4 linked regions of the Arabidopsis thaliana genome follow. The protein of the gene in region 3 interacts with the protein of the main gene of each other region in a pairwise test. Each region holds a gene or a part of one and is shown on either strand. Other genes may lie near its edges.

Evidence for each region.
Region 1: the proteins of UMAMIT27 (region 3) and RPH1 interact in a protein complementation assay, tested with the Arabidopsis thaliana proteins (one large-scale study listed by BioGRID).
Region 2: the proteins of UMAMIT27 (region 3) and AT3G62560 interact in a protein complementation assay, tested with the Arabidopsis thaliana proteins (one large-scale study listed by BioGRID).
Region 4: the proteins of UMAMIT27 (region 3) and AT5G41800 interact in a protein complementation assay, tested with the Arabidopsis thaliana proteins (one large-scale study listed by BioGRID).

Annotation. Positions count from the first base shown.
Region 1 is NC_003071.7:19,659,657-19,666,777, reverse strand, and holds RPH1 (resistance to phytophthora 1), read right to left. Parts: upstream 3,962-7,121; 5' UTR 3,916-3,961; coding exon 3,730-3,915; intron 3,584-3,729; coding exon 3,373-3,583; intron 3,291-3,372; coding exon 3,109-3,290; intron 3,032-3,108; coding exon 3,005-3,031; 3' UTR 2,876-3,004; downstream 1-2,875. Other genes in the region: AT2G48080 (oxidoreductase, 2OG-Fe(II) oxygenase family protein), read left to right, coding at 1-168, 426-543, 631-732, 819-928, 1,013-1,167, 1,238-1,586; AT2G48075 (uncharacterized protein), read left to right, coding at 2,156-2,635; AT2G48060 (piezo-type mechanosensitive ion channel component), read left to right, coding at 4,392-4,440, 4,763-4,843, 5,102-5,261, 5,347-5,504, 5,619-5,775, 5,860-6,046, 6,318-6,433, 6,836-6,920 and 1 more. UniProt on the Arabidopsis thaliana protein: Plays a positive role in the immune response to the oomycetes P.brassicae, including induced oxidative burst (e.g. H(2)O(2)) and enhanced expression of defense-related genes.
Region 2 is NC_003074.8:23,133,952-23,141,926, reverse strand, and holds AT3G62560 (Ras-related small GTP-binding family protein), read right to left. Parts: upstream 4,642-7,975; 5' UTR 4,389-4,641; coding exon 4,260-4,388; intron 4,148-4,259; coding exon 4,016-4,147; intron 3,368-4,015; coding exon 3,047-3,367; 3' UTR 2,782-3,046; downstream 1-2,781. Other genes in the region: AT3G62550 (Adenine nucleotide alpha hydrolases-like superfamily protein), read right to left, coding at 4,853-4,940, 5,020-5,138, 5,364-5,473, 5,562-5,733; AT3G62540 (Pentatricopeptide repeat (PPR) superfamily protein), read left to right, coding at 6,614-7,975.
Region 3 is NC_003070.9:3,849,330-3,857,799, reverse strand, and holds UMAMIT27 (nodulin MtN21 /EamA-like transporter family protein), read right to left. Parts: upstream 4,617-8,470; 5' UTR 4,484-4,616; coding exon 4,281-4,483; intron 4,043-4,280; coding exon 3,980-4,042; exon of another isoform or gene 3,806-3,979; coding exon 3,689-3,805; intron 3,459-3,688; coding exon 3,059-3,458; intron 2,931-3,058; coding exon 2,779-2,930; coding exon of another isoform or gene 2,754-2,778; exon of another isoform or gene 2,665-2,753; coding exon 2,541-2,664; 3' UTR 2,293-2,540; downstream 1-2,292. Other genes in the region: UMAMIT26 (nodulin MtN21 /EamA-like transporter family protein), read right to left, coding at 89-205, 368-430, 593-795; AT1G11440 (uncharacterized protein), read right to left, coding at 7,291-8,382.
Region 4 is NC_003076.8:16,730,503-16,738,931, forward strand, and holds AT5G41800 (Transmembrane amino acid transporter family protein), read left to right. Parts: upstream 1-3,160; 5' UTR 3,161-3,339; coding exon 3,340-3,424; intron 3,425-3,495; coding exon 3,496-3,726; intron 3,727-3,998; coding exon 3,999-4,096; intron 4,097-4,186; coding exon 4,187-4,373; intron 4,374-4,458; coding exon 4,459-4,589; intron 4,590-4,670; coding exon 4,671-4,907; intron 4,908-4,996; coding exon 4,997-5,386; 3' UTR 5,387-5,591; downstream 5,592-8,429. Other genes in the region: CIP1 (COP1-interactive protein 1), read left to right, coding at 1-1,889; AT5G41810 (Avr9/Cf-9 rapidly elicited protein), read left to right, coding at 7,800-8,049, 8,356-8,429.

The sequences.
Region 1 (7,121 bases), on a different chromosome or scaffold from region 3:
GACCACGACGATGATTCTCCCTCCAGCGACATCACTGATGGAGGATCCCGGGAAGAAGAAACCCTCTCCATCTGTTGTAAGCACGAGGACGAATGTGAATCACGAGGAGCCTCACTCCTCAAGCAGTCCAAGCGTTTCTCGGCCAAGGAACATGTTAGAGGACATACGGCAAGTTCATCATCCTCTTTACCAAAGCTGCAGACTTGCTTTTAAAAAACACATCTGAGGTTTGATTGTTTAGTAACTACGTACTACTGAAACAACATATATATATATATATATATATTTAAAGGCTTATTAGATCCTATCAATCATCATTACTCATTCCTTAGTGTGTAATCTCGTCGTCCCGATGGATATTGAATTTGCTTCATTAATTGTTTCCATGACTAAGAAGACTGCGTGGTTGCTCCTCTATCTCGCAGGCCAATGTTGTCAAAGGCCTTAAACTCTACCAAGATGTCTTCACTCGACCTCAACTCTCCAAGCTTCTGGATTCTATTAATCAGCTCCGAGAGGCTGGTCGGAATCACCAACTTTCAGGTGATTTTATCCTTTGAATTTAATTCCGTCTTTTTTTCTTTCATAAACCTTACACACGAGAGTAAGTTTCTCTCATCTCAAATGCAGGGGAGACCTTCGTTCTGTTCAACAAGAACACCAAGGGAACCAAAAGAGAGCTTCTTCAGCTTGGAGTTCCTATTTTCGGCAACACCACGGATGAACACTCTGGTAATGACAACAAGGCAGGGACTTGGTGCTTCCGCTATTTCTAGACATATACATACCATCTCCTAATTTATAACCCGTCCTTGCAGTGGAACCTATCCCAACCCTTGTCCAAAGTGTTATCGACCATCTTCTTCAATGGCGTCTGATTCCTGAATACAAACGACCAAATGGCTGTGTGATCAACTTCTTCGATGAGGTACTTACTTACACTTCCATTTCCAGAATCCAGATCACCATCTCTCGATCCTTCCTTCCAGCTAAGGTTTGGGATTGTTTTCAGGACGAACACTCTCAACCATTTCAGAAACCTCCTCACGTGGATCAACCCATATCCACTCTTGTCTTGTCTGAATCAACCATGGTGTTTGGGCACAGACTCGGGGTCGATAACGATGGCAACTTCAGAGGCTCACTCACTCTCCCACTTAAGGAAGGGTAATGGAAACACTCCCCCGATGTTGATTGTATCCGAGTTTTCTTTCTAATCAGAAAATGAATCTCGCAGGTCGTTGCTGGTGATGAGGGGTAACAGTGCAGATATGGCTAGGCATGTAATGTGTCCCTCGCCCAACAAAAGAGTCGCAATCACCTTCTTCAAACTCAAACCGGACTCCGGTAAGGTCCAGCCGCCGCCCACCCTATGGAGACCAGGCACCCCTTCTCCTCTGGTGATGCTAGCTCCGGCGCCCAAGAGGCTAGACGCTGGCACTGGAGTTTTCTTGCCGTGGACACCGCCAGTGTCAAGAAAACCAGCCAAGCATCTCCCGCCGCGTGTCCAGAGGCTGCGTCTCTTGTCATCATCAAAGTCAGTGGCAGATAGTGAGTCATCGTCGCCAGAGATAGGAGTGAGTTGAGTTGGAAAGTGTCACACACGGAAGCTCTTTCTTTTTCCTTTACTTTTTTTTTTTAAAGCAGAGTCTTTTGGTTGTACACTTGAGAGTTTAGTGGGTTTTTCTTGTTTCTTCCTAACATTTTGCTTTCCTTTTATTTGGTCAATTTTATAGAACGAAGATTAGGGTATTATGCTACATCATCTACTGTTGTTACATGATTCACTATTTGTATTAAAAATCTTTAGGATATGCCCCACCACTTGCCATTAATTTCAAATATCTTCAGCTTCAATCAAGAAAAGAGGAAACTTGATTGATACAAATATTCCTGAAACTGCTTCTCAGTTAAAGTAAAAGAGGATGAAGAAGGAAGCAGAGAGATTCTGGTTTTCTTCTTCTTTTATTGGATAAAACGACACATAGCTTCCACTGGCTCAATTTCCCCATCTAACAAAAGCGTAGAATCAAAGCAAACCCGATATACCACTACTCATTTCTTCATATACACCAAAACCACTCCTCAAGCACAATAATCCTGGAGAGAAAAGAAAAATACCTTTCTGTTTCTGCAGTCTTCTTTTTGACAGAGAATGCACATAAGAGAGGATGATGACAGCATCAGCTCTCTGCGGCCTCGGGGCATTTGCCGTCGGCTGTTTCGATTTGTGGTGGCTAAACTATGGATATTAGGAGACAAAGAGATGAATGAAGATAAGCCTGAGAGGAACAAACTGATCAAGAAGGGATCAATGTCTGACATCACTATTCATTTCAAGCAATTAGAAGACTCGGAGGATAACAATTCCCCTGCCTCGTCAAGTCCAGAATCAGAGAGAGAGACAATGATTACACTAGTTAATGGTAGTAACGGCCCAAAGAAGAGGTTACAGGAGAACGGGGAAAAGAGCATGCTGGGTGAGCCCAGCCCTAAGCAACAAATCACTCAGCCTGAAGCAGGGAAACCACCACAGCCTCATAGACGCCTGGGGCCCCTACTAAATGATATAAATAAGAAATCAGATGCTTTTATCGAAAGTACACTCGAGAAGATGAGGAAAGGCTTAGCCTAGAACTAAACACATGAGCCTCCTTCTTCTCTCGCTTTCTCTGTCGAATAGAAGAACCAACAGACACTGGGATGCAAGAATTATCTATATACTCAATTCTTTTACTTTGTTTAAATTTACCAGCTGCATTCTTGATAACAAAACGTATATGTACTCCCACTTGTATTTTGAACAATAATTCATCTCAGAACTTTAAGATTTACAAGAAATATTCCTTAAGGGGCTAGTTCATATATCATTCTAGAGCAATGTTCACATTCATTTGCCTTAAACCCACGTACCTAACACGATAAGCTGAATGAAGTACCATTCTAAGGAAGAAAAGACAAAGAATCTTCATGCTCTAATCCCATCATGATTCACGAGTAGTCCCTACTCTGTTCTTTCCAGCCATCCAAGCTGAAGTAAGAGGCAAAAAGTGAAAAAAATAATCTGAGCAAGCACATATAACTATATAAGCGCCCCTCAATAATTACCATTCGACATACCTTCCAGGCATACATAGCAAAGAAGGCAACCGTGTCAGCAGACCAGACAAGAGCAAATGATTTCCAAAAGAAGGGAATAGCAACATTGAGCAAGGGGACGATGAGAAAGAGGTAGTTAAGAGCCTCTTTCTCTTTACTTGGACAGTCTCGTGCCCGAAGAGAAGGAATAGCTGGAAAGAAAGTAAAGGATTAGGGGCAAAAATGCAGCCTTGGAATAAATAAAGTTAGAAGAAAGTAGAGAAGGAGACATACTGAACATCCAAATGGACCACATGCCCATCAACCTCCATAAATCAGGTTCGCTGGAGGGAAAGAGGAGGTTGAAAGAAAGGACACCTCCGAGGAACATCGATGCATAGCCTTGAACCTCAAAAACTTTGTAAAGAGTAGTTCCAGGGAGAGCAGGGTTTTTACTGGCGGTGGAAGCTCTAGGGGCAAAGGTTGCAGCAGTCTTGTTAACAACCTGCTTGAATTGAAAAGTCATAAGCTTGAGCAACTCTTTCAACAGGTTCAAGCACTAGAGACCAATCTAACATGGTGCATTTTCATTTTCATGTCTTCCTATGGTTTCAACAGAAAAATCGTAAATGATATAGAAAAAAGGCGGACCTTTTTCAAGTCTTTACCGAGAGCAGAGGATGAGGAAGGGAGAGGAGATTCCGGCGGGTCGTCCTTGGGTTCTAATCCGTCAGAGGTGGCGAAAATACGGAAGGTGGATCTTCTTCTATGGCGAAAGCCATAAGTGAGAGCTATGGAAGAGGAGACCCCATGGGTGCTGCAGAGAGACCAACTCATTCTCTCCTCCAATAATCGCGATAAGGAAGAAGAAACTTGTTGGCTTTATTGAACCGGTCCAATTCTCAACCGAACTCCGGTATTCCAAATTAAAAGCCAGCAATCAATAATTGAATCTCGAGCCCACGACGGTTTGATTGGTTTAGCCATTTCTCGGCGCTAAATATAATTTATTAAAATGATGATTATTGCGAGAAGAAAAGATCTTTCTTTGATTTTTGCTTGTGGATTTGGATTTCCAGTTTCCAATTCTCTCAAATTTGCAATCCACCTTCAAATTCACACACATCTTCAACAGCTACCTTTTCGGGAACTTGCTAGAATTCGTGAGAATTGGAAATTTTTATCCTCCGTTTTAGTCTCCGGCGGGCTGATTTCGTTGGCCTTTTGGAAGAAATTGAGGTCGGAGCTAGAGAGGGGATCTATTGAATTCGATGAGAATTGGGATATGGTGATCGTTAAGACAAAAGTTTCCAATGGCGAGTTTTTTGGTGGGCTTCTTGTTGCCTTCGCTTCTTCTGGCAGGTTGGTTTCTTTCTCTATCTTCTTGCTTGCAATAATAATAATAAAAAAATCCTTACTTTGCTAGTCCTCTTCAATCAACAGAGTCCTCCTCTTTGTCTCATGGGATATCTTGAGCTTCACTCATTTACTCCTTAACATTGTACCTACTCTATTAAGGTTCCTTTATTAAGTTTTACTAGTTTAAACGACCCTGGTGTTTTTATGTCAAAACATTGGTATCATATCTCTTGTTATTGCTATCTCCATTCTCTACCACACCGTAGCTTGTACTTTTTTCGCTTGAGCTTCTATTTTCCTAATATATTTTTCTCTTCTCTCACAGCTGCACTTATTAACTGGAGTGTCATATCCTTTCTTGATTTGATAGCTTTCCTCCTCGTTCACTATATTGCACCTGAAATTGGTAAGCCTGTTTTCCCTCTAATCAAAAGAAATACCCCAATGTTTCTGCTGTAGTACATGTTTCTTGGAATCTTTGATTTGGGGTTTAGGTGTGAAAGGATTCATCTAGTTTATGCCCAACATCTACATTAGCCTGGAGAAACAGAAAAAAAAAAAAGAGAGTCTATTATTCTCAGTTTTCGTCGCTTTTTTCAGTTACGGTTGATTAGCTGATGTTTACTTTCTCAAACTTACTTTGGTTCTTGCTTTATTTTGCCAGGATACCGTTTTCAGAGGAGGCATTGGCTATTATGGCCCATTTTCATCTTTTCCTTTGCAGTATTTCTTGCTCAAGTGGTCTACCTTGTCATTTGGGCTGCTCTAGGTCAAGACTGGGATACACCAGATACTGGCTGGATGAGAGTTATTGGCTTTATGATGTAAGAGTACTCTCATCATTTCATTCATCTTCCTGCCTTACAAATATTTACTTGTTAGTTGATACTCTCGTCTTTGCTTCTGCAGATTAAAGTCTTGGAGAAACCCCACCGTTATGTATTTCCTGGCTTTACAACTACTAACATCATTGGTTGCTTTAGCTGACATATACAGTAGTAGATTCGGCTTCGCTAGATGGCGGGACACATGGTGGTCTCACTTCTCAGGAATTTTCGAACACCTAGGTTTGTAATTAATGTACTAGGCCCATACGGCTTGTCCAAATACTTACTGTAACGTTTTCTCATCATGTGTTCATCTGGTCTTGGTTTGACGTTATCTCCTCCTTTATTACTCAGGAAGTCATCTTAGGGTTGCCTCCTGCTTGTTGTTACCAGCAGTTCAATTGGCAGTGGGAATCTGCAATCCATCATGGGTTTCTTTGCCATTTTTTATTGGAAGCTGTGCCGGTCTTGTGGACTGGTCCTTGACAAGCAATGTTTCAGGACTTTTCAGGTGGATAGATTATTGATTATTACGCAAAGTTAGCACTTCCAAACCCTGCTTCTCTGAAATCTAGTCGTTTTTTGTCTGGTTAAGGTGGTGGAGAGTTCTTTATATCTACGCAGGATTCAACATTGTCCTGCTTTACCTCTATCAACTACCAATAAACTTTTCCGATATGATTCGTTGGATAGCAAGCTTTATAGGTCTATTCAGAATCTCCCTGGAAACTGAAGGCCCTGATATTTGTTCTGGTCTTTTCCTTGTGTTGTTCTACATCATGGTATGTCTTTTGTTTTTCGAGGATTAGTATTACTTGGTCTCACTCAAGTGTAAAATGATAAACTATATTACTGAACCATATAATTGATGAACTGTTTCTCAAAACAACTGTCAATATGTGGTGACCGTGTTTGGGGAGTTGGTTATGAACACCAACAGCCAGTGTAGTTTTTCCTTCAAGTGAACTGACTTACCCGCCTTAATCTGTTAACGAGCTACCACTATGTTATACCTGTAACAGTCTTGACATGCCTGTCGTTCTGCTATTGCAGCTATCCTATGTAAGGTCAGACCTCGAGGATATGGACTTTATCATGTCCACGAGTGAAAATAACTTGGCAGAGCGGCTTCTTCCTCCAAAATATTCATTTTTTATTCGAGAATCAAGGTATTCTATATAGATTTTTGTTTAGTTTCTTCCTACTGGGAGCTGTTGTGGTTTTAACATAGTATATCAGTTTTTCAAGGGAAATTTTAGTTTTTCTGTTTAATTTTTTCTTACTTATGTTAATTAATTTATGGTTGAATATGCTCAAAGAATTGTGTTCAAGGGTCGGCACTACCAAACGTGGAAGCCTAAACACTGGACAGTTTTATGAACACAAAGTTGTGATTGGTTTCTCTGCTAATAGAAACTATGGGGTTGGGTAAAGATTAGTACTCCCTTACAGAGTACAACTAGTTCACACATTCTAATGGATGTTCTCTTGGCTGGGCTGTACAAGATTAGCATTGTAGATGGATAATAGTTACACTCAACTTAATGTGTTAATTTTTTCCAAATTTTCAGGGCCGGTGTCAGGCACACCAATGTTTTACTGAGGGGAGCTGTGTTTAAGACTTTCAGTATTAATTTCTTCACATATGGTTTTCCGGTATATATTTGTATCCCTGGTATTAAAGTGTATGTGTCAGCTAAAGCAACATAATGTGTCAGAAACTCACACTCTTTTTATTTGCGTTCATGATTGCCAGGTCTCTCTATTTGCTCTTTCGTTCTGGAGTTTTCACTTTGCGAGCTTGTGTGCTTTTGGCCTCCTTGCATATGTTGGTTACATTATTTATGCCTTCCCGTC
Region 2 (7,975 bases), on a different chromosome or scaffold from region 3:
GTCATATTCTGAAAATCGTCATAGTATGACGAATGATTGCATTATTCCCATCACCCATCTCTCGAGTAATCATGTTCAATTATTACTTACTATATACTTCGAGTTTTATTTTCTTCATCAGATTCTTTGGCTATTATTGTTTTGCCAAAAATGAAAATTTAGAATGGAGCCTATAATATTGATCATAATTAGATGTTGGCCATGCCAAGAATTTCTTAATGGTGCACGTTAAAAGCTTTTGATAAATTACACACGAGTATCAAGATATTCATGTTATGTGCTTCAATGATGAATATAATTACCTTTCCCCGATTTTATACCATTGTGAAATTACGTAATTAATTAATCGGGGCACGTCTTGTTATTAATGTTTCTTAGAAAACAGCATGCTATTGCAAATCATGTAGAATTTGTATGGTCTAAAATCAATGCAATGTCAACATGTATGTAGCAGAAGACATATGGTCCGTATGAAAACAATATGTAATGTCAAATAAATATCCAACTTTTTTCATAGGATTCTTAAAGAAAAAAAAAAACTATATAGCAAGGGATGGTAGCCTTTATGATTGGGAACTGAATATAACAGCAATAATAATAATGCAGCTCATAAAATGATTATATTATAGGTACAACTTCCTTCCACATTTTTGGACTTATAGGCAATGTATGTGTATTGGCTTCAATTTACAACATAGGTGTTAATCATTCAGAATATAATATCGATCTTTAACTATGTATTACAATTTTCTATTCTCCCTTGTATAAATAAAAAATGGGTAAAAAATACAGTTTTCCCTTGAAATCCTATATTTCCATGATAAATAAACGAATTTCTACAAAGCTATATGAACATTTTTTTACATCAATGATTCTCTATATTCTTACAAACCAAACTCTATTCATTTGTATATAAATATGAACTCTTGATTGAATTTTCGTATGAAATTGAACTAGTTGAGAATAGAGATAAGAGATGAGAACTGCTAGTATAATACAAATTAAAAGATAGAGTCGAGCATTAAATAGTTGATGATAGTGCACACCGTGCCATTGGTCGAGACAACTATGCCAGGATGGCTTGAGTTAACAAACTCTACAAAGACGACGATTACGTGTTAATTGTAGTTAACTAGTGTTGAGTTAAATATTTGGTTTAAAAGTGGGTCTACTTAAAAGGCAACTGTCCCCATTCTATAAACATGTTAGCATCTTAAGAGGCACACCATGACGGCGTATATATCATACACACAACATGTACATACATATTTATACGTAAATACCCTTCATATTTTCATATATACATACACATCAATATGTATACTTCGTCAAATCCCTTCTATCATATGGTATGTTTTAGTTCTAAATTTAATTTTGATAAGTTATATAGTATCTTGCAAAGTTATAGGAATGCATATAGTCCAACAGAAACCAAAAATTATTTGAAAAATCATAAAATATTAAGCTTTCTAGCTACAAGTGGACATCCAAAAATATTGTACATAACACTTTCACTATTGGGTGTTTCGACATTGCAACATGATTGCATTGTCTATGACTGGTGACTTTCACCGAGACATGGGTTTTATATAGAACCAAATAAGTGTCAAAGTTGGCGCAAGTTTTAAGATAGGAATCTATTATCAAATACTAATAATACTAGTTGTATGATTAACGTCGTTATTTAATTTGAAGTATTGAGTAAAAAAGAGAGAATATTGCGTTGGGCATCAAACCAATCATCTAGTTTTGCTCAAATGCATACGATAGAGACCTCTTTTGGATCCAAAAGCTTTGGGTTTTGAACTAAAAACTGAAACCAATCACATAAAAGTCAGATAGCTCAGAGGGAGGCACGTGTTCTTGGCTTAGATATCACGTGGGAATGAGGGATCCATGTGCATCCCTTTACCCCAAAAACCAAGTTAATACTTCTTCTAAATTTATTTTTCTCTTCTCCACGCAATCAATCGAATGAGTTTTAATATTTTGACATTTTTTTATATATAAAAAAAACTTTTCTCATTCAAGCAAAAAACTTAAATCAAATTATTCATTTGGTCACATTTTCGTGCTTGGTATTTCATGGGTCCTGGGACATAGAACCAGTCTCTAGCTAGTGGCGAATATAAAAAAGAAACAGCATAGTAAAAAGAAGAGCAAAAACTGTAACAAGGAATCAATCCAAAGGAGAAAAAATTAATAACAAATGATAGAAATAATACGTTAAAAAAAAACTTTTGATATTAACTTTGGGCCACGTAGAGAAGAATCAGTCCAAAGGAGAAATGTTCTGAAAAAGTTATAAAAAGAGAAAGTGAGCACCTAATAGTTTTCTTACACATCCATATTTGCATAGTCCGTAGACATATATATGCTTGAGCTGCAAAATCTTGAGTCGCAAAATCTAATCTATTAGCCTTATTACGCTGCGACTTGAACGTTTGGAAGCGGCTGAGATCAAAGACGCATTGTGATGGTGCTAAAAAGCAAATTTTTTTACTTATTTTGTGAACTATTTTGGAGTATTATTGTTCACATATTTTAATGAAAATAAATACATGGTTATCCATAGATCTGTTTGTGTTCATTTCACAATACCTAGAAAGAAGAAAAACAGACATAATGATAAGTTCACAAAGAGACATAACACATGTAAAACAATATACGTACACTCATTATGGTACATCTATGTGTCAAATTGATTGGTTTTCAGTGTAGGACATTGTGATTGTTAATTGTCAAACTCGATTCACATGGGGTTTTCTCTACATTACATTATTAAAGTAAAAGTGTTCATCTTTCGAATTTTCATAAAAAAGCTAAGATACAGCCATTTCTTAAGCCCCACACAGTTACACAGTCACAGACAAATGGGTTCACACTTTTCATAGGATTCAACTTTGGTCTGTAAACACAAAATTGATAATTTAAAAGCCGTCAAATCTTGTTGTATACACACATTAATCGTAATTATACATTAGGTTATAACACGTACAGATACCAATCACACAGTATAGATAGATAAGACTTAAATATGATTGATCTAGTCGATATATTGAGAAACCCATTTAAATCCTTCGCCGTAACCCATCTTTCTGACAATGCTGCACATGAACACCTCAAGAGGACGAACATTTGTTCCTGCTAGATTCACTTTACCTTTCCCAGTGGTGAAACTGGTGAGGCCTAGATGATAACGCAGCTCGTCTTCTGATGCAGCGTACGGAATGTCGATTTTGTTTCCAAGGATGAGGAAAGGGACATTTGCTAGGGATTCATCAGAGAGAAGAGCGTCAAGCTCTTTCTTTGATTCTGCAAACCTCTCTTTGTCATATGCATCAACTAGGTATACCACTGCATCAACCTAATACGAGACAATAATAAAGTTACAAACTTGAAGATAGAATGCAAAGAGGGTAGCTAATAGAAACACCGGAGTCTATTAATCTCTTGATTCACTGGAATCATCAGCTATGAGAATGTAAATCACAAGGGACCTCATGACTCTAAAACTGACAGTAAGAGTAGTCTATAGCTATACAATCTTCTAATTTTCAACCTCCACTGGCTCCACATACCAATCACAATGTCATTTTAAACTACAGTATATGATGTATATGTATATCTATCATCTGAAGATTTTACTATAGCTCAATCATTTCAAACTATCATCTGCAAACTTATATAACCCAACGGAGCAACACAGTGGCTAAGGAACAGAGTAGGAGTAGTACACAGCAAGAGCTTACTAGGTACACATAACCAGCAGAATGTAATCACAGGACCTCATGCTGCAACATTCAAAAGAGAATTGCTATATGACAAACTTCATTGAAGATTTCACTTCACCTCTATCATCTAACTATTGTTTATATGGGCACAGGGAAGATTGTAATCTATAACAGAGTCAGCTTAGAGTCTACATACAACTATACGAGCGCAATAGTCCTTCCAAAGACTTGCTAAATTGATTGACCTAACAATAAAATCCAAAGAAGAAAGAAGATCAAACCTTAGCGTAATAGTCCTTCCAGACTCTACGAGCAATCTGATGACCTCCCAAATCGAAGGCTTTGAACTTGATTTTGCCGATACTAAGCTCTTCCGATGTCGGATGCTGTGTCGGCTGATGCTGGACCAGTCTCTGAAACCCAAATCAAACGATTATCGCTGATTAAGACTTTGATTCGTTCGCGCTAAGTAAAAGAAACAAGATTCTAGACAGCGATTACTGATATGGCTCGAAGAAAACGAACCTCGTCCTTTAACATGTGAAGCAAGGTGGTTTTGCCGGCGTTGTCGAGACCTAGAAACAGAATCTTCGCTTCTTTCTGCCATAGTCCCAGAGTTGCCAGAACTCCATAGAACCAATCCACCAGGAACATCGCTTCTTCTTCTTCTTCTTCTTCTTCTTCTCTCTCGCGAGATTGAAGATTTTCACGAAGCTTCGAACACGGAAACGGCGACGTTTAAGTATGACTGTGTCGACTGGATGAGTAACAGATATACTTTGGGCCTTGAGGCCTTTATTGAACTTTGAAGCGAACAACAATTAAGTGTTCAAACAACAAAATTGCAAATATTCAAAACTTGGTATATGGTTCATTACATTCTTCTATACGTTAAATTGAAATTTGCGTTTACATTAGTTTTTAATTTGGCATTGTATGTAGAGAATGTAGATTTGAATTTAATTGGTTGATTGATGTCATTGTCAGCTAGTTTTATATAAGCAAAAATATCTGCTAAATTTGTTTAAACCGTTATGTATTTTATTATCGCATACGAAGATTGATTCAAGTGTTACACCAGTTCTTTCGAAACATATACACAATGCAATCATATGAGCTTAATTATCTTGAGCTTGCTTCTTGACGATAACCACAGGACACTTGACTCGTTTGGCGCAATACTCGCTCACACTCCCTAGCAAAGCCCTATCAAATATATCAAATGATTATCAAATAACCATTAAACCAAAATATTTTTGTTTCTTATAAGAGATTGAAACCTTACCTTTTGAAGAAGCCATAGTCATGAGTGCCCATTACTAACATATCAACTCTAAGTTTCTGAACTGCGTTGCATATAACTTCCTTAGCATCTCCTCTTCCAACTCGTCTCTCTATATTAATCTGCACATTAATTTGGTTATATTTACATTTATTTCGCCAACTCTCTTTGAAAACAACCATATTTTGCTTATCATATGTTATATTTTTTGTACTAAATATTGCTCATGATAAACAGATTAACTCATAACTACTTGATTAAATTCACTTTCTCATAATTTCTCAAGTTTTTTAAGCAAGTATAATCCAGCAAATTAAGTGATAAAAAATCGATAGAAATAAGCTTACATCAGACTCATAATCTTGGTACACGGTTCGAGACCGAGCCATGACCGATTCCACGAGCTCGTATTCATACTTCTTCAAAGCTGCAACCGGGTCTCCTGTCACTATAAACCCTGGAAATCGACCAAACAAAAATCTATAACTAAAGTGAACAGATTATAATTAGGGAAAGATATGAATCGTGAAAGAACGAGGACTAACCTGCGGCATCGAGGGAAGAGTAAACGGGAAGAGGGGGCTTGACGTAGAGGAGGATGAGTGTATTATTGGAACCATATGGAAAAAGATTGTCAAGACTCCATGACAGAGCTTCCATGCTCTCTTCGCTTTCGTCTACTGCTACTACTATCTTTCTCTCCTTTGTTTCCTCCATTTCTTTACCTTTCTAAAAAAAAAAACTGTTTTCTTTTGCTTTCAATTATTAGAGAAGAAATATATTATGAAGAAGACCTGATGGAAGAAGAGATTATGATTGTGTTACTATTTATACAATTAGCTAGGCAAAACCCACTTGATTTCTCATTTTGGAATTAAGTGTTTTCATTTAGATATTTGCAGACACTATCCTTTGTGTAATTTTTACATTAGATAAGATATAAACCCACATAGGATTGATTGATAACCAAATACAGAAAACTATCGTTTTTCTTTCAGGGGTGACTCTTATCTACAATATGCGATATTTTTATGTAGATAATTCATGATTTTTTATAGAATTATTTCATGCTTCTGAACTACTATGTTATTATAGATTTTAGGTGAATCAATATTTATGAACTTAATCTGGAATCTGATTTTCCTCATATATCCCTTAGTTTTATATACATCCCGCAGGGTTATTGATGATTGATGTTACACTGATTGACTGATCTTGATTTTCAGTTATGTAATATCCATAAACACGTATACAAAGACAACGTGAACTAAGAGAAATGTAAGATAGAATCAAATAAATCTAAAAATAAATTGGTCCCCTAAGAAAAACTTGAGAAAATATCACGACCCTAAAACGAAGATAAGATGCATACAGATACCTTCCAACTAAAAAATAAAAATTCTTTATGCGTTTGAGCTTTAATGCTCCTGGTGGACCCAATGGTTATATGTGACCAGATCAATGGGCCTTTAATGGGTCAAAATTATTATCACTCAAAGCTTCTAATCAAACAAAGGCCCAAATACGTGAAGAGCTCTCCGCCGTAAATCAGTGGCTTTTCACCGACTTCGCCATTGCTAATCGCCGTCGAGCTTCCATGGCTGCTGCTCCATGGCTCTATCTCTCTAGGAGAAGAAGCTCCACTCAGACTTCATTAAGAAGATTCCTCATTTGCTCTTCTTCATTCGATGCCGATGAATTCATTTCCAGTCAAAGCCGCGTAATCGGCGGGAGAGGAGAAGAGGAAGTACGATTTTCCGGTGCTCTCTTCTCTCGTATGATTCATTCTTCTACTTATCATCCTTACCGTCAAATTCCATTGCCACACTCCTCTGTACAACTGCTTGATGCGAGTCTTGGGTGTAGAGGTTTCTCTAGTGGTAGTTCTAATGTTAGTGATGGATGTGATGAAGAAGTTGAATCTGAATGCGATAATGATGAAGAAACTGGGGTCAGTTGTGTTGAATCAAGTACTAATCCGGAAGAAGTAGAGAGAGTCTGCAAAGTGATTGATGAATTGTTTGCGTTAGATAGAAATATGGAAGCTGTTCTTGATGAAATGAAACTAGATTTATCACATGATCTCATCGTTGAGGTTTTAGAACGTTTTCGACATGCTAGGAAGCCTGCATTTAGGTTCTTCTGTTGGGCTGCAGAGAGACAAGGATTTGCTCATGCTTCAAGAACATATAACTCCATGATGAGTATTTTAGCAAAGACTAGACAGTTCGAGACGATGGTTTCGGTACTCGAAGAGATGGGTACGAAAGGTCTATTGACGATGGAGACATTCACTATCGCGATGAAAGCTTTCGCTGCTGCGAAAGAGAGGAAGAAAGCTGTTGGTATCTTTGAGTTGATGAAGAAGTACAAGTTTAAGATTGGTGTTGAAACCATTAATTGCTTGCTTGATAGTCTTGGCAGGGCTAAGCTTGGAAAAGAAGCTCAGGTTCTGTTTGATAAGCTGAAGGAGAGGTTTACACCTAATATGATGACTTACACTGTTCTACTCAATGGTTGGTGCAGGGTGAGGAACTTGATAGAAGCAGCTAGAATCTGGAATGATATGATTGATCACGGATTGAAACCTGACATTGTAGCTCACAACGTAATGCTTGAAGGGTTGTTGAGGAGTATGAAAAAATCAGATGCGATCAAATTGTTCCATGTTATGAAATCCAAGGGACCTTGCCCTAATGTCCGTAGCTATACCATCATGATCCGGGACTTCTGCAAACAGTCGAGCATGGAAACTGCCATTGAGTACTTTGATGACATGGTTGATTCCGGGTTGCAACCTGATGCTGCGGTTTACACGTGTCTGATCACGGGGTTTGGGACTCAGAAGAAGCTGGATACTGTTTACGAACTGCTCAAGGAGATGCAAGAAAAGGGACACCCTCCGGATGGCAAAACGTATAATGCGTTGATCAAACTGATGGCGAACCAGAAAATGCCG
Region 3 (8,470 bases):
GAATAAATCCTGCATGAACCCATTGCATAGTAATAGTAAATACAGTACTTATTTTAATGATAAAGAAGTTAGATGGTTCCATAATTACCTCAAAATAAGAGCGAAAGCAAAGGTGATTGCAGGCATCAAGCTTACCAAAGCACACGCAACAGTTGCTGACGTGTAAGACAGACCAAGCAAATAGAAAAATTGCATCAAACTCGCCCTGCAAATTTAAACCCAAAACTAAGCTAGAATTAAAAAAAAAAAAAAAGCTTATGATGAATTTTATGCTACTTGAGAGAAAATAATTCCTATGTGGAAAGGAAATTGAAAATGGACGACAAAAGAACATAATCAAATATTATGTTGAGTTGAGAAGACAAACCCGAGCAATCCACTGATGAAATGATCGACCATTAGCCTAAACGTTATTTCCGGTATTATTTCCCTGTTAACAATAAGACGTAAATTTTAGGAAAAAATGTCAATAATTAAACTTCATATATTAGTAACAAATACTAGTTTATATTTATTTCATGTTAAAGTAGAGCATTCTCACAATATTCGCCAAAAAAGTAAATAACTTACTATTTCATCAAAAAAATCAAACCTTTCCAAAATATAGGCGATAGGAGCCAGAATGAAAGAGGAAATAGCAATTCGATAAGCACCAATGATCATATGGTTCACACCAACATCAAGAGCTTTCTTCACAAGTGCATTCACCGAACCCATTGCTACTTGTGATATTACCATTACTATTATCGGTGGCCATTTTGATTCTACTTTCACTACTCGCATATCCTCACCCATCCCTCTCTCGTCCTCTCTTTCTTTCTATGTCATTTGGTGTATGTGCGTTAAAAAGAATTGAAACCCAATGTGCTTTGAGTTTGGCAACCACAAACCTTCCTCTATATATATAAGAAACATGTGTGTATGGGTTCTCTAATTCTAATAGAAAAGACCCTGAGTTGAAGAATTGTTGTATTAACTTAGTTGTCTTTCTATCAAAAACATTTTTTACAAAAAAACTTAGTGGTGTCTACTCGAGTTCATTTTAAATAATATTAGAATCTTGTTCCGCATTATGTGTGAAAAGTAAAAAAAAATAATAAAATTTTTTTTTGTCAAAATATTTAAATAGTTTGAATGTTCCCACCCACACAACTAGCTAATTAATTTGTATATATTTTTTTGTTGTTCTGGTTAAGACTAATCTAAAAAATAAACTTTATTTTATATAAGATAAGTGTTTGTGAGGAGGGAACAAAGCACAAACCCGAGCATATTCTTATTGAGTAATGGATTAAATCGTTAGCTTTAAGTTTAAGAAGTTGTCGCAAATATAATTACTGCGGTAAAATATTTTTTATTTATTTTTCAGGTCAGTGTTGCGATATATACATGACGATTGCCTTTACTGTATTATTTTTACTTTTATATTTAGTAGAAATGCATGAGACACCGATACATTGGCTTTTATCACACGTTCCATGAGACACCGATACCTTAGCTTTCCATTCTATACGTTATATGAGACACCAATACATTGGCGTTATCACCCGTGTCATGCAAATGAAGTAAAACAGTGTCGGTATAATCTATACTTAGTGTAATCTAATGACACATAAACACTAAAGTATTATACTGAATTCCCCATCTACGATGACCACGTCATATTGAATTCTGATTCGATATGATGGGAAAAAGTTATCATAATTATATGAGATTTTTGCAACTCTCATTCAATAATTCTCCATTTTATTGTTCCCAATTTGGATTCGATCCCTTTTACGCTCTGTCCTTTCACTGGATCCATGCAGTACCTCGTTTTTGTTATTTATAATGCACATAATAATTGTTATACATTTCAATATAGAAGTTAATGAAAAAAATTATACTGTATTAGTATATAGTTGTTTCTCCCCAATATGGGTATCGAAATTTTGCCTTCCTTTATTTTGTCCGTCGAACTTTGTAGGGACAAAAAGCAGATGCTATTCTAGATTAAGGTAAGGCTTAGAAAAAATGGACGGGGCATTTTCACTCCAGTAGTGCATAATATATATACAGTAGTACTAATTACAATTGGTCTTTATTTTTTCTAGACCTTAAATTCTTACTGTTTTAGCAACAGGCTACAAACTCAAAACGCAACACATTTAAAATCAGCACGAAAATAATCCAAGAAACAGAGCTTTTGAAACTAAAAACAATATTACGAGGCTCTTTTAACAGATCTGTTGTGAAATGTTTTGATATATCATATATGCTTTATATTGGTTAGTTTTGAATATTATAACAAATCTGTTTTGTTATCTCTTTACGAAATTATAAATCTGCAAACGAAAAGTATGAATTATACAAACTGCTTGCACAATTTGAATCTGAATATTTATGACTGGTCTTTAACGTGAGTGTGCTTGCACAATTTAAATCTAAATATTTATGACTGGTCTTTACGGTAAATGTATTCAGTAGTAAATACTAATTTACGACAATGAAGCCATATGAATCTTTCTATGACAACAATATTATTTGATTAAATGGGCGACCTAGACTCGTTGATCTTCGTTGTTCATCCGAGAAGACAATGTAGTTATGTCTGCTTCCGTTTCTTTGTTCTTACCCCACAAGAACACGTAGAGACCTATTATTGTCCCTACTGATCCAATCACACTGTATAGCAAAAGTTACAAAATAAATTGTAATTAGTAATACGAGCATGAACCTAATACATTAACATCTATAAAGCTATACAAAAAATTTCATAGAGATGATCGAAGAGAGCACCTTCCGAGGTATAAAGGAGTGTGTAAGATAAGGAAATCGAATAGAGTAGCCGATATGAGAGAAACTGGCATAATTGCTGATGCGAAAACAGCTCCTAATCTGTTTATTCCCCATGTCGCTGCTACAGTCGACATTGCTTGTCCTATCACTCCCTATAATACGTGTATAGTAATAAGGTAATATTAGGTAAACCCCAAAATTTATTTAATTATTTACATATATACTACATTATAATTTATAAAAATGTTAAGATTTCTGATAATATAGTATTATAACTTACAGCATATATTATGACACCAATCACAAATCCATCGTCGATGATCCAATGTTTAAGGTCTCTACTCTTGTAAAGACTCAATAGAGCACATTGAAAAGCTGCGAAAATTGACATGAGACAAGTGCTTGAGAATTTGCAAGGATACTTGATGCTTAAAGTCCCTTGAAACAATATCCATAGAGATAGCAACACGATTCCTATGACTAAGTAGAGACATCCAAGAAGCCAATTCTTGGTGTTGTGATCGCTGTTGTTGTGAGGAAGAGCCTCTAGGTGAGAGTGAGAGTTTGATATATGAGGGCCTTTGTAAAATGTTAAGAACAAAGCTCCACTTATACATATTAGAGTTCCCATCACTTTTATCATTCCTGCTTGGGTCTTTAGATCTTTTATCTTCTCAGTTCTGAAAAGTAATATAACCTTTTAGATGATAAATTTGAGATAATTTATGAGTAAGGTTCTTTTGAGTATTTCTATATATAGAAGTATAATATGCTTGATGAAAAAACAAAAGAAATTATATGCACTGTATACATAACAAATACGAATAAATCCTGCATGAACCCATTGCATAGTAATAGTAAATACAGTACTTATTTTAATGATAAAGAAGTTAGATGGTTCCATAATTACCTCAAAATAAGAGCGAAAGCAAAGGTGATTGCAGGCATCAAGCTTACCAAAGCACACGCAACAGTTGCTGACGTGTAGGACAGACCAAGCAAATAGAAAAATTGCATCAAACTCGCCCTGCAAATTTAAACCCAAAACTAAGCTAAGATTAAAAACAATTTAGCTAGCTTATGAAGATTTTATGCTCACTTGAAAGAAAATCTTTCTTCTGTGGAAACAATCAATGTATAATGGAAAAGGAAAATGGAAAATGGACGACAAAAGAACATAAGAAATTGTGAGAAGACAAACCCGAGCAAACCACTGATGAAATGATCGACCATTAGCCTAAACGTTATTTTCGGTATTATTTTCCTGTTAACAATAAGACATAAACTTTAGGGGAAAGAAAATATCAATCTACTTCATATATTAGTAACATGTAGTGGTGTTTATTTACATGTTATAATAGAGCATTCTGACAATCTTCAATTGTAGTAAATGTTGTTAATTATGTAAATATGAAAAAACTATTTTGATATAATCAAATTTTTGAAAATTTTGCATAAGAAAAATATATAACTCAACTATTTTCATCAAAATATCAATAAACCTTTCCAAAAAATAGGCGATAGGAACCAGAATGAAAGAGGAAATAGCCATTCGATAAGCACCAATGATCATATGGTTCACACCAACATCAAGAGCTTTCTTCACAAGTGCATTCACCGAACCCATCGCTACTTGTGATGTCACCATAACTATCATCGGTGGCCATTTTGAGACTACTTTCACTCCTCGCATATCCTCACCCATCTCTCCCTCGTTCTCTCTTTCTTGAATTCTATGTGAGTTTGTGTGTTAGAAAGAGTTAAGACCCAAAGTACTTTGAGTTTGGCAACCACCCTTCCCATATTTATAACTTATAAGAAAGAGTACTGTGTTTGGGTTCTGTCATTTTAATAGAAAAAACCCCTGAATTATTGCTCTATTATATTAACTTAGTGGTCTTTCTATCAAAAATAAATAAATAAAAAACTTAGTGCTGTCAAGTTCAATTTAAATAATATTAGAATCTTGTTCCACATTATGTAAAATTATAAATTACAAAATAGTTCAAATATTTGAACAAGTTGAATGTTCCTACACACAACTAGCTTAATTTTATTTACTTTTCTGGTCTAAAAAAACTTTCTTTTTATATAGGATAAGCGTTTGTGAAGAACAAAGCACTACTACAAACCCGAGCATATTATTAACTAATGAAAGAACAAAATTAGTAGGATACTTAAGTTTAAGAAGTCGTCACAAATATAACTGCTCATGCGGTAACAATCTTTTTTTTTTCCGGTCAATATGTGTATATTTACTGTTATATTTATTTATTTATTATATAGTAGAAATGAGAACCGATACATTGGCTTTATCACACGTTTCATGAGGCGCCGATGAATTAGCTTTTCCATTTTATACGTTATATGAGTAAATGAGAAACCGATACATTGGCTTTATCATGCGTGTTATCTGCCGCGCACCTTATTAATTAGCAAAATGATTTTCATAAAAGAGAGTCGGAGAGATGATGTAACTGAGTTTAGTGAGAAAAAATAAGTCATGCAAACCCGAGCTAGTTGGTATATCTAAATCTATACTTCGTGTAATCTAATGACACTTAAACATTTGTAATCTAATGACACTTAAACACTTGCATGCCCGTCTCCGTCTGGTCGTATAGGTTCAAGTTTGGGTTCTTTACTTTCAATTGTAATTGGACTGACTCAAGGATTTGTTGAATTTGGTGCAAAATAGGAAAAAACACGAACTTTTCAACGAGATAAACTAATCATATGTAGTAAATAAGTACTATATGAGATTTTGCAACTCTCATTCAATAACTTTTTGCGTGCAAATTTGTTTTGTGCCCATTTTGAATTATATTCGATCCATTAATTATTCTCTTTTGTCTTTTCATTGGATCCATCTTGTTTTGCACTATCTCGTTTTTGTTAATTATAAATGCGTATAATTAGCTCTATATTTGAACTTTTAAAGTTGATGAAAAAATTATATTATCCCCATTTGGGTATATCGAACTCTTTCATTCCTTTAGTTTGTCCATATAACTTTGTAGGGACAAAAAGCAGATGCTATTTTTAGATTCAGTAAGTTATCTAGAAAAGGCTTAGAACATAATGGACGGGGCATTTTCTCTCCAGTAGTGCAGACATATATATTCCTTCTACTAATTAGATCAATTCACCAAATATAATAACAATTGAGTTAGTGGTTCTAATGATGTTAAATTTTTTTTATAAAAAAGTTGTCACAAAAGAAAAGTTAGTGGTTTTGACTTAGTTCTAGAATAAATTTACAAGATTGGTATATAATATATTCTATCTTTTCATATTAAATCATATCTAAAGTTTTTCACATAAATTAAGAAATAATAAAAAAAATATTTTGTTTATTTTATATATATAAATTGTTAAAATAAAACTAATTCAACTAGTAAAAAACATATTCTATTATATAAATGGTTACAATCAAATATATTTAAACTTTTGAAAACATCACTTGAAATAAGATAAACAAAATTCTCTGGATCATCATTTAAAACAAAACAGAGAAAGTATTCGATGAAATTAAAACAGTATAACCAACAGCTCAATAATTATTATACTTTTATAATTTTTTTTATTTTTTTTTGAAAAAGGGTTTTATATATGGTGAATTAATCTGATTATACTACATATAACTAAATTGGAAAGGGATAAGAATAAAAAAAAAGAAGTAGACGTCTCAAAACAAAGTTAAGCCTCCATGACGCACATGTAAAGCTTTCATCAATCATTTTAAATTTTGTTTTAGTTAAGAAGTAGCATGTCATTGAACCTTATTAATATCGCGTGTAAATACGGTATTTTGTTTTGTTTTCTGTATTTGCATATTGTCTATACGTAGTACAGTTTTGAAAATTCCATATACTTACATGCTCAGGTAAACAAGTTATACATCCACAAAAATAATTTCTGCAAAAAAGTATATTTACACATAATTTATTAGTCAACATGTTAACGTCTCAAAAGAGTTTCCAAAAACACAAAAAAATGATATTCTTTTGAATCGGGTACTAATTTTCATTTAAGATAATCAAGAACCCCCATGGTGTTCATTGTTTGTTATTACTTATTAGAGTGTTCTTCAACTTCAGCTAATTCATCTTTATCGTTGACTTTTCTACTTCTACAATTTCTTCTGCACTTGTACTCACAGTGATAGATATTAGATATACCATGATACAATTCTTTCATTTATTTGGTGTTTTTCACAAAGAAATGTATATATACCAATAATAATTACGATGGATACAGTAATCAATTATCACATCGAGTGTAGTATTTAAAGATTTTAGATTTTAAACAAACGTGTTAAAGAGAATGTTACAAATAGAAAGGTTGAAGATAGATTTTGCGTGCGACGTTTTATTATTAAGTAACCCCTCCTCGTTATACAACAGTAAATCTCATCTCTTGTGTAACAGATACTAAAAAATCAGGTTCATCAATAATCAAAAGAATGTTGTTCTTACCTCACATTGACACAACTGATGATAACTAGGGTTGTTAATACATCCGGTAACCATAAGAGGAGACCTCGAACTGATTTCTTTCGCTCCGATTCTCGTAACCGTACGGATATGAATCCCCGAAAAGGTGATCGGAAGTTGTCTTCCACGGATCAGAATCGTTGCTTTCCCAGCAAGAAACAGCAGCCCCACGATCTTGTTCATCTTCCTGACGTCTTTTGTTACGTAACACACAAGGAAAGTAACCTCCAAATATAACCTCACAGAGATCGGTCGCTTCTAATCCGTAACCAGACGGAACATACAAAGCTTTCACTTCTCCTTTATCTACGACTTCATATTCCTCATTTCCATAGCTTGAACTGTGATCTTTTTCTTCTTCTTTAGCTTCCTCATCCCCTTCTTCTTCTTCTTCATCATCATCATCACCATCATCTTCGTCCTCACTTTCTTCATCATAATCTTCGTCTTGTTCTTGTTCTTGCTCTTTAATGGTTTCTATTGGTTTGACTTCTTCTACCGGTTCAGCAAAAGACACACGTTTCTTGACAACATTCTTTTGACCACCATCATAAATTCCAAGAGGAACAGGAGCAATAATCTCAGGAGGAGAGGGAGCTTTAGCGTGAGGAGCGGTTGAACAAGGGTAACAAGTTTCCACCGATGGAGGAAGAGGTTTTCCATAGGTTGCAACAACATCGTAGCCACCACCGTACGGCGTGGGATCGTATTCATCGAATTCCGGCTCGTTGAAGTCAAGAGCAGAGGCTACAGAGCAATAGATACTAAACTGAGGAGGAGATTCGTAGGTTGTATAGAGATTCGGATCATAGAACAAGTGTTTAGGCTCAGACATGGTAGAAACAGAGTAAGCAACATATGCAGAGGTTGTCTCAGACTCGGATCCATTCCAGTTATAACAATTATAACTCATTGGATCATCATAACCAGAGTAAGCAACATATTCAGATTCAGATTCAGATTCATTCCAGTTGTAATAATTATAACTCATTGGTTCGAAACCAAGCTGCTGCTGCTGTTGATTGTAATGATAATGATTTTGATCGTAGAGATTATTAACCTGATTGTAATCGTAAGGACTCTGGTAATTCTCATAGAAGTTGGCCATTTGAGAGAGCTTGAAGGATGATCTTGAAAGTCTTTCTCTGCGGTTGATGAGAGAAAACGATTCAGCTGAGCAGTGATCTGTCGATTAA
Region 4 (8,429 bases), on a different chromosome or scaffold from region 3:
TTTTGGAATTGAGCGAAAGTCTGAAGGCTGCAGAAGAAGAAAGCAGAACTATGTCCACGAAAATCTCAGAAACTTCAGATGAGCTTGAACGGACACAGATCATGGTACAGGAACTCACAGCTGATTCGAGCAAACTGAAAGAGCAGCTCGCTGAGAAAGAAAGCAAACTATTCCTTCTGACAGAGAAGGACAGCAAATCACAGGTGCAAATAAAAGAACTAGAAGCAACAGTAGCGACACTGGAGCTGGAACTAGAGTCAGTTCGTGCCCGTATAATAGATCTTGAGACAGAGATTGCAAGCAAGACCACCGTAGTTGAGCAGTTGGAAGCGCAAAACAGAGAAATGGTTGCTAGAATCTCAGAACTTGAGAAGACAATGGAGGAGAGAGGAACTGAACTCTCAGCTTTAACTCAAAAACTTGAGGATAACGATAAGCAATCATCGTCTTCAATTGAGACTTTGACAGCTGAGATCGATGGCCTACGAGCAGAATTAGATTCAATGTCTGTTCAAAAAGAAGAGGTGGAGAAACAAATGGTGTGCAAAAGCGAGGAAGCCTCAGTGAAGATTAAACGTTTGGATGATGAGGTCAATGGTCTGAGACAGCAAGTGGCCTCACTTGATAGCCAGAGAGCAGAACTCGAGATCCAACTTGAAAAGAAGTCCGAGGAGATATCTGAATATCTGAGTCAGATTACAAATCTAAAAGAGGAGATCATAAACAAGGTTAAAGTTCACGAGAGTATTCTAGAAGAAATAAATGGTTTATCTGAGAAGATTAAGGGTCGTGAACTTGAGTTAGAGACTCTAGGGAAACAGAGAAGTGAGCTTGATGAGGAGCTGAGAACTAAGAAAGAAGAGAATGTTCAAATGCACGATAAGATCAACGTAGCGTCTTCTGAAATAATGGCCTTAACAGAACTGATCAACAATCTGAAGAATGAGCTTGATTCTCTACAGGTGCAGAAGAGCGAAACCGAAGCAGAGCTTGAGAGAGAGAAGCAAGAGAAATCAGAATTGTCGAATCAGATCACCGATGTCCAGAAAGCATTGGTAGAGCAAGAAGCTGCTTACAATACGCTGGAAGAGGAACACAAGCAGATAAACGAACTATTTAAAGAAACTGAAGCAACACTAAATAAGGTAACTGTGGATTACAAAGAAGCTCAAAGATTGTTGGAGGAGAGGGGTAAGGAAGTGACATCCAGAGATTCTACAATTGGGGTTCATGAAGAGACGATGGAGAGTTTACGTAACGAGCTGGAAATGAAAGGAGACGAGATCGAAACTCTCATGGAGAAGATCAGTAACATCGAGGTTAAGCTACGCTTGTCGAACCAGAAACTGAGAGTAACCGAACAGGTACTAACAGAGAAAGAAGAAGCTTTCAGGAAAGAAGAGGCTAAGCACTTAGAGGAGCAAGCATTGCTTGAGAAGAATCTCACCATGACACATGAGACTTATCGAGGTATGATCAAAGAGATAGCAGATAAAGTGAACATAACAGTAGATGGGTTTCAATCCATGTCAGAAAAACTCACGGAGAAACAGGGGAGATACGAGAAAACTGTAATGGAGGCATCAAAAATACTGTGGACTGCGACGAATTGGGTGATAGAGAGAAATCACGAGAAGGAGAAGATGAATAAAGAGATAGAGAAGAAAGATGAAGAAATAAAAAAGCTTGGAGGAAAAGTAAGAGAAGATGAAAAAGAGAAGGAGATGATGAAAGAGACTTTGATGGGACTTGGAGAAGAGAAAAGAGAAGCGATAAGGCAATTATGTGTTTGGATCGATCACCATAGAAGTCGTTGTGAATATCTTGAGGAGGTTTTGTCTAAGACCGTTGTGGCTCGAGGCCAAAGAAGAGTGTCGCAGCGAACTTAAGGACTCAGTGCCATGGTACGTTGTTTATCTTTCCCAAGCCTAGTTTCCACCTCACATGAATGCAAACAATGAAACAACATATATGTGTTTATTAGGTTTTGGACTCTGGTCAATCAAGAAGCTGGTGGAGAGGTATTTTTGGTTGGGGACTTTTGGTGTACTTGTGTTCGATTTTGTTGCACTTTTATATGTTTGTTAACTTTTGTTGTATTTTGTAAGTCAAAATTTTTGGTTTATTGTGGGCAAAGTTGGTGGTGGTTTTTATGGGAGGTCAGGGAATAAAGGGGCTCACACAAATGGAGTTGATATTTTTTTTTCTTTGGGCGTCGGATTGTATAGAACGATTAAATGCTACTGTTGGTATAGTGCTTTTGCTTGTTTGGAATTTGTTATAGTATCATCTTTGCTCTTTCATAACAAAATTATACACATCGCTTTACAGAGTTTCGTTCTCTCATTCATTTCTTATTTTATTGGGTTTTTTTTTTTTGCATTAGCAGTCGTTATATCTCGCCTTGAATTTCTAATGTGAACTAGTTTGAAATGTTTGAAATGTTTATTCTTTAATAGCAACCACTTTTTTTTCAAGTGTTTTTCACAACCGAAAAAGTCAGCCATGTGAATGATACACAAAATAAGTCAGCCAGTAAGGTTTGGTGATGTTAGATCAATCAAATATTTGAGAAAAAATTCCATAACTAGTTGATATTTCCTAAATCGAAGTTAATTGAAAATTAAGTACAATTTGGCAATATCTTAAATTATTAAATTTTAAATAGAAACTCTATTCACTTTTATGAGTTTATGGAAACACACTACTTTCTCCTCTAAAATCAGACAGTGATTATACTTTGACCTTAAAATTTGAAAAGAGTCTAACACGTTATAATTCCCAATTACTTTATTATCTGATTAATTCACCAAGATACATTAAATCTAAAATTATGTGATAGATATTCATATAAATCATATTGGATTATTCCAACAAAAAAAAAACTCTTAAAATTTGTTTCCTTATTTACAAACAATACATTACTGAAAATTTCTAAATAAAATATCAAAAAGTAATTTCAAAACCTTGTTTTGTCAATTTAATATTTTTATTTTTACAAAAAAAAATCTGAAACATGCAAAGAAGCACAAGTAAAGTACAAGTGGAAATGTATGAAAATAGGAATCATAAAACTAATTTTTTAATTTAATGATAGGAATCTGAAAAAAGCAAAATTTTATCACATCCCGAATAAAGAGGAAAATGCAAAATATGTCTCCTTTTCTCACTATGACAGGTTGTTTCTTTAAAGAAGCAACGGAATTTAACATTATAGCAAACATTAACTATCACCAGCTATCATGCGCCCACCTCTCCACCGTGCTCTCCATCATCATCATTCCATATATAAATCATTCACTTGTAGAATCTTCTTCTCTTTCACACTAAAATTCATCGATGACGGATCCTCCCAGACCCGACCCGTTTCCTGTTACCCGACTCGATTCCGACGCCGGTGCTCTCTTCGTCCTCCAATCAAAAGGTTAAACCCATATATTTATGATATCAATCTCCAATTTTGGAATTTTAACTGATTTGAGAATTAATTCTCAGGCGAGTGGTGGCACGCCGGATTTCATCTAACGACGGCGATTGTTGGTCCGACGATATTGACATTACCATATGCGTTTAGAGGATTAGGATGGTGGTTAGGGTTTGTTTGTTTAACGACGATGGGACTCGTTACTTTCTACGCTTATTACCTCATGTCTAAGGTTCTTGATCACTGTGAAAAATCCGGCCGCCGTCACATCCGTTTCCGGGAACTCGCCGCCGATGTTCTTGGTATCATTCAAAATCTCTTCTTTGTATTTATTAATTTGCTTTTTTTGGATAAATCCGTAAAGGTTGGATCGTGTTTCGATTTGGATACTTTGACTTCTTGTTAGATTCGCCATCATCACACGTGTCTTAGTTTACCGTACCGGTCTAGGTTAGGCCTGTGTATTTCGGTTTATAGATCGGTTTACGTCATAAAGTCTGGTCTTTCCGGTTATTGAGTTTTGGGTTTAAGGGCCGATTTCGAATTTTGAGCCGGTTATTGTGATGTGGTGCAGGATCTGGATTGATGTTTTATGTAGTGATCTTTATTCAAACAGCTATCAACACTGGAATTGGTATTGGCGCCATTCTACTTGCAGGTCAATGTCTTGATGTAAGAAAGAAACCTAAATTTTGATTACTTGTTAAACAAGGTACTATAAGAACCGTACGGATCATCCTCTGTTTTTGTGTTACTACACAGATAATGTATTCGAGTCTTTTCCCGCAAGGAACGTTGAAGCTTTACGAGTTCATTGCTATGGTGACTGTTGTGATGATGGTTCTCTCACAGCTTCCAAGTTTTCACTCTCTTAGACACATTAACTGTGCGTCTCTGCTTCTCAGCTTAGGATATACTTTCCTCGTCGTTGGGGCTTGTATCAACCTAGGTATAATGATTCTTACGTTAGCGAAGAAACAACAACTTACTAATGTTCGAAAATTTAGATTCATTGCCCAGTTTTGGTTCTACAGGTTTGTCGAAAAACGCTCCTAAACGTGAGTATTCTCTAGAGCATTCGGATTCAGGGAAAGTTTTTAGTGCCTTCACATCAATTTCGATCATAGCTGCTATTTTCGGAAATGGAATCTTACCCGAAATACAGGTGAGAAATGTTTGCAATTTATTCAATACAAACATTGTATGTTATGTGTTTGAGATTTATGAGATGATTATATGTATGCAGGCAACTCTTGCTCCACCAGCCACAGGGAAGATGTTGAAAGGACTATTGTTGTGTTATAGTGTGATCTTCTTCACGTTTTACTCTGCTGCAATTTCGGGATATTGGGTTTTTGGTAACAATTCGAGCTCTAATATCCTCAAGAACTTAATGCCTGATGAAGGACCGACTCTGGCTCCTATCGTGGTGATTGGCTTAGCTGTCATCTTTGTCCTTCTTCAGCTTTTCGCCATTGGCCTTGTAAGTTTATAACTAGTGTGATCGTTATTCGATGTTACTTGGCTGTGAGACGAGTGACTAAATGTTTCTTTTTTTTGGTAACTGGTTAGGTGTATTCTCAAGTTGCGTATGAAATAATGGAGAAGAAATCAGCGGATACAACAAAAGGGATATTCTCAAAACGCAACCTTGTGCCGCGTTTGATACTAAGAACACTATATATGGCGTTTTGCGGGTTCATGGCAGCGATGCTACCGTTCTTTGGGGATATAAACGCGGTGGTAGGAGCGTTTGGGTTTATCCCACTCGATTTCGTGCTGCCAATGCTTCTATACAACATGACCTATAAGCCAACCAGACGGAGCTTCACGTATTGGATAAACATGACGATAATGGTTGTGTTCACTTGTGCAGGACTCATGGGAGCTTTCTCCTCCATTAGGAAACTTGTTCTTGATGCTAATAAGTTCAAGTTGTTTAGCAGTGAAGTTGTTGATTAGATGGTTTTGATAGTGTGATAAAAACATAAACAATACTTGTTTTGTGGTTACACTTGTACATGAATTTCTCGAGTTGATTCATTATCACACAAAATGCAAAACCAAACTAGTTACAAAATGCAAAACCAGACAAGGATTATCACACTTACGTCAATTGTTCTTGAGATGAATATGTTTTTTTTGTTAAATGATTTTCTATTTAAATACAAAGTTCCTTTGGGTATAAACACTAAACAGATTACTGGGTTCAGTAAACTCTCTCAGAGTGTGTTAATTTTCAGTATTCGTAGCTGATTGGTTCGGTTTCGGACCGATTGGATATCCACCAATCCGAAATAATACATTACATATTATTAATTTTATGCTCAATTCGGATCGTGTAATTCAGAATTTCATATTTGATATAGTAAATTTCAAATAATTTTGATAATTCTGATCGGATAATTCGGATATTTTGGATTTCATCGGATAATTCAAATCCAAATAAGAATTAAAACCATACATATTTTGGTTTCGAATACACTTGGGATTCTAAAATATCAATAAAAACCGATTTAAGTCTAAAAAAATTAGAATCATAAAATTGTTTGGATTCTAATCGGATTCTATCAGACCTAATCTAATCTGATCCGATCCAAAATTCGAATGCCCAGACTATCACATACTATGGTCATGGATTTCGGAGCGGATACTCCAATCTCATTTGCATTTTGTCTTCTTCTTCTTTTTTTTTTTAATTATTAAAAATTACCTTAAGAATCTAAATGGAAATGCAAAACAATGTGGACGTAAAGAACTTAGGATCAAGGTAATCTAGCAACAACAAAATAAATGGATATATAGTAAATTTAAAAATAAAATATAGACACAATAACAAGGTACTATTTTTTAATAGCATTTCAATATAACAACTAAAAACAAATCATGAGGAACAAAAAAATACCGAAAAAAGCTCGCGCATAGTGCAGATACTCACCTAATTATATATAAAGGTTTGTATTCATATAGTATCTTTTGGCCATTTTCTGTAAATATATATTATATTGAGAGTATGATTTGAGGATCTTCATCATAAATGAAAAAAATAAATATATGTGGGGACAAGATCAAATTAATGATTTATCATGTGATGTATCAGCGATAGTATTTGTTAAATACTATTTCTAAGGTTTACGTGTTAGGATTAGGAATTTAGGAACGAGCACGAATAGTCAACATACAGAACCTAACTCGTTTTGTGTTAATTGTTTTAGACACATGTGTGTAAGTCAGTAAAAGTTTTTTTCCTAATGGCAAAAGTAATTCATCCATTCAAGATAGAAATGGCCATTTTCTTTAAGAGAAAACCAATCTGATGAAATAGAGTTTACTTAGAAAAAGATAATACCACATGATCGTGCTTTTTTGCAAGACACTCATGTGGAAAAAGAGTGTTTGAAAGAGCTAAAATCTTCTAATTCTGACAGTAAAAGTTTAAGCTCGTTTATTTATTACATTTTTCGTCATTGTCAACTAACTATACATGAGTACTTCATAAAATCCATGTGATTTAGCTTACAAAAAAAAAAAATGTAATTACGTACGTGTATAGAACTTAAAATTCGCTAATGGTTTGGTAAACGCTAGAGTTGGGGCTTAATAATGGTTAACCAAATTTTACCACAAGTCACTAAAATATGATAGTTTAGTATGATTATTGTAGTACTATAATATATAGTCAGTTGCATTACATTCACGTGAAAATTCCACCAAGCTCGGGACACGCGTAGAGGTAGGATATCACTTCTCACTTTCCAGACATTTAATGATTTTTAATCGAGCTTATGGGTCAATCATATCTATCAATTTTTATTTTCTTAAACATATCTATCAATTACTCTAAATTATAATTAAAAAAATGTATTAAGCTTTGTGATATACAAAATTATGGTCAGTTCAATTAGTTGAGAAACTTTCAGCATTAATAGATCTAAATTTGGCCACATGAGATAATTATGTATTTTACTAGAAAAATGTTAAATTAGAGCCAAAAATTCCAAAATTTCAACCAAAAACTTAGAATTTTTATTTGTCTTTCACTAAGAACGTCGTTATCGTGGGATTAAATATTTAATTAATAAACATTAGCTGCAATACTTTCATGTTCATACATATATAAATGTTAAATGATCAGACCGTGAAGCCCATAAGACCATTCATAATTAACCACCAAGTACCCACTTCTCTCTCTCTCTCCATACATATACTATATTATAGATAAATATCCCATCAATACGTAACAACCACCGAGATATTACAATTCACAGGTTTCTAGCTATTTTATATAGTTATTGTAAACCAAAAGAAAAAGATTTTTGGGGATAGATCAATCTCTTGCGTTCATTTTTCTTCTCTTTGGTACGAAAATACAAAGATGGAGATCAAAGTCAAAGCAAAAGATGTAGAGTCGACAATGATGTCAACTAAAGAGGAGGATGAGATCAAGAAGATGAAAGAGTGTGTGGTGATTCAGAAGGCAGATGAGGAGGTTACTAAAGGACAAGAAACTATGAAGATTTTGGATGGTTCAAGACAAAACCAAGATGAAACAAGACAAGCTGATTCTAAGAATATTGACTCACCATCATCATCATCACTTGAGATGAAGAAGAAGTTGGAAATTGGTAAGTTTCTAATCTTTTTGTCCCTTTATGTTTGATAAAACGTCTTCTTCTTATCCTTTTGGTATGACTAATTCATATATTAAACCAACTAAGTTATGCTTACATGTAACAATTTGAGACAAAAATATAACAACCCCTTCGAATTTTTCTCTTACATTTATATACCAAGTCTTAGAAATTTGGGTGAAAAAGATATAGGAATTACAATTTTTTCCAATTTTTTAAAATTTTTTTATTCATTTACCTGTTAACTCTTTTGGGAACAGAGATTATCAAAAGTTAAGTAGTGTTTCACAAATTTTGCAGACCAAAAATTTACGAGTCAAAACGAAGAAAACACCAAAAAGGAAGAGGAGAAGAAGAAAGAGACCAACAATAAC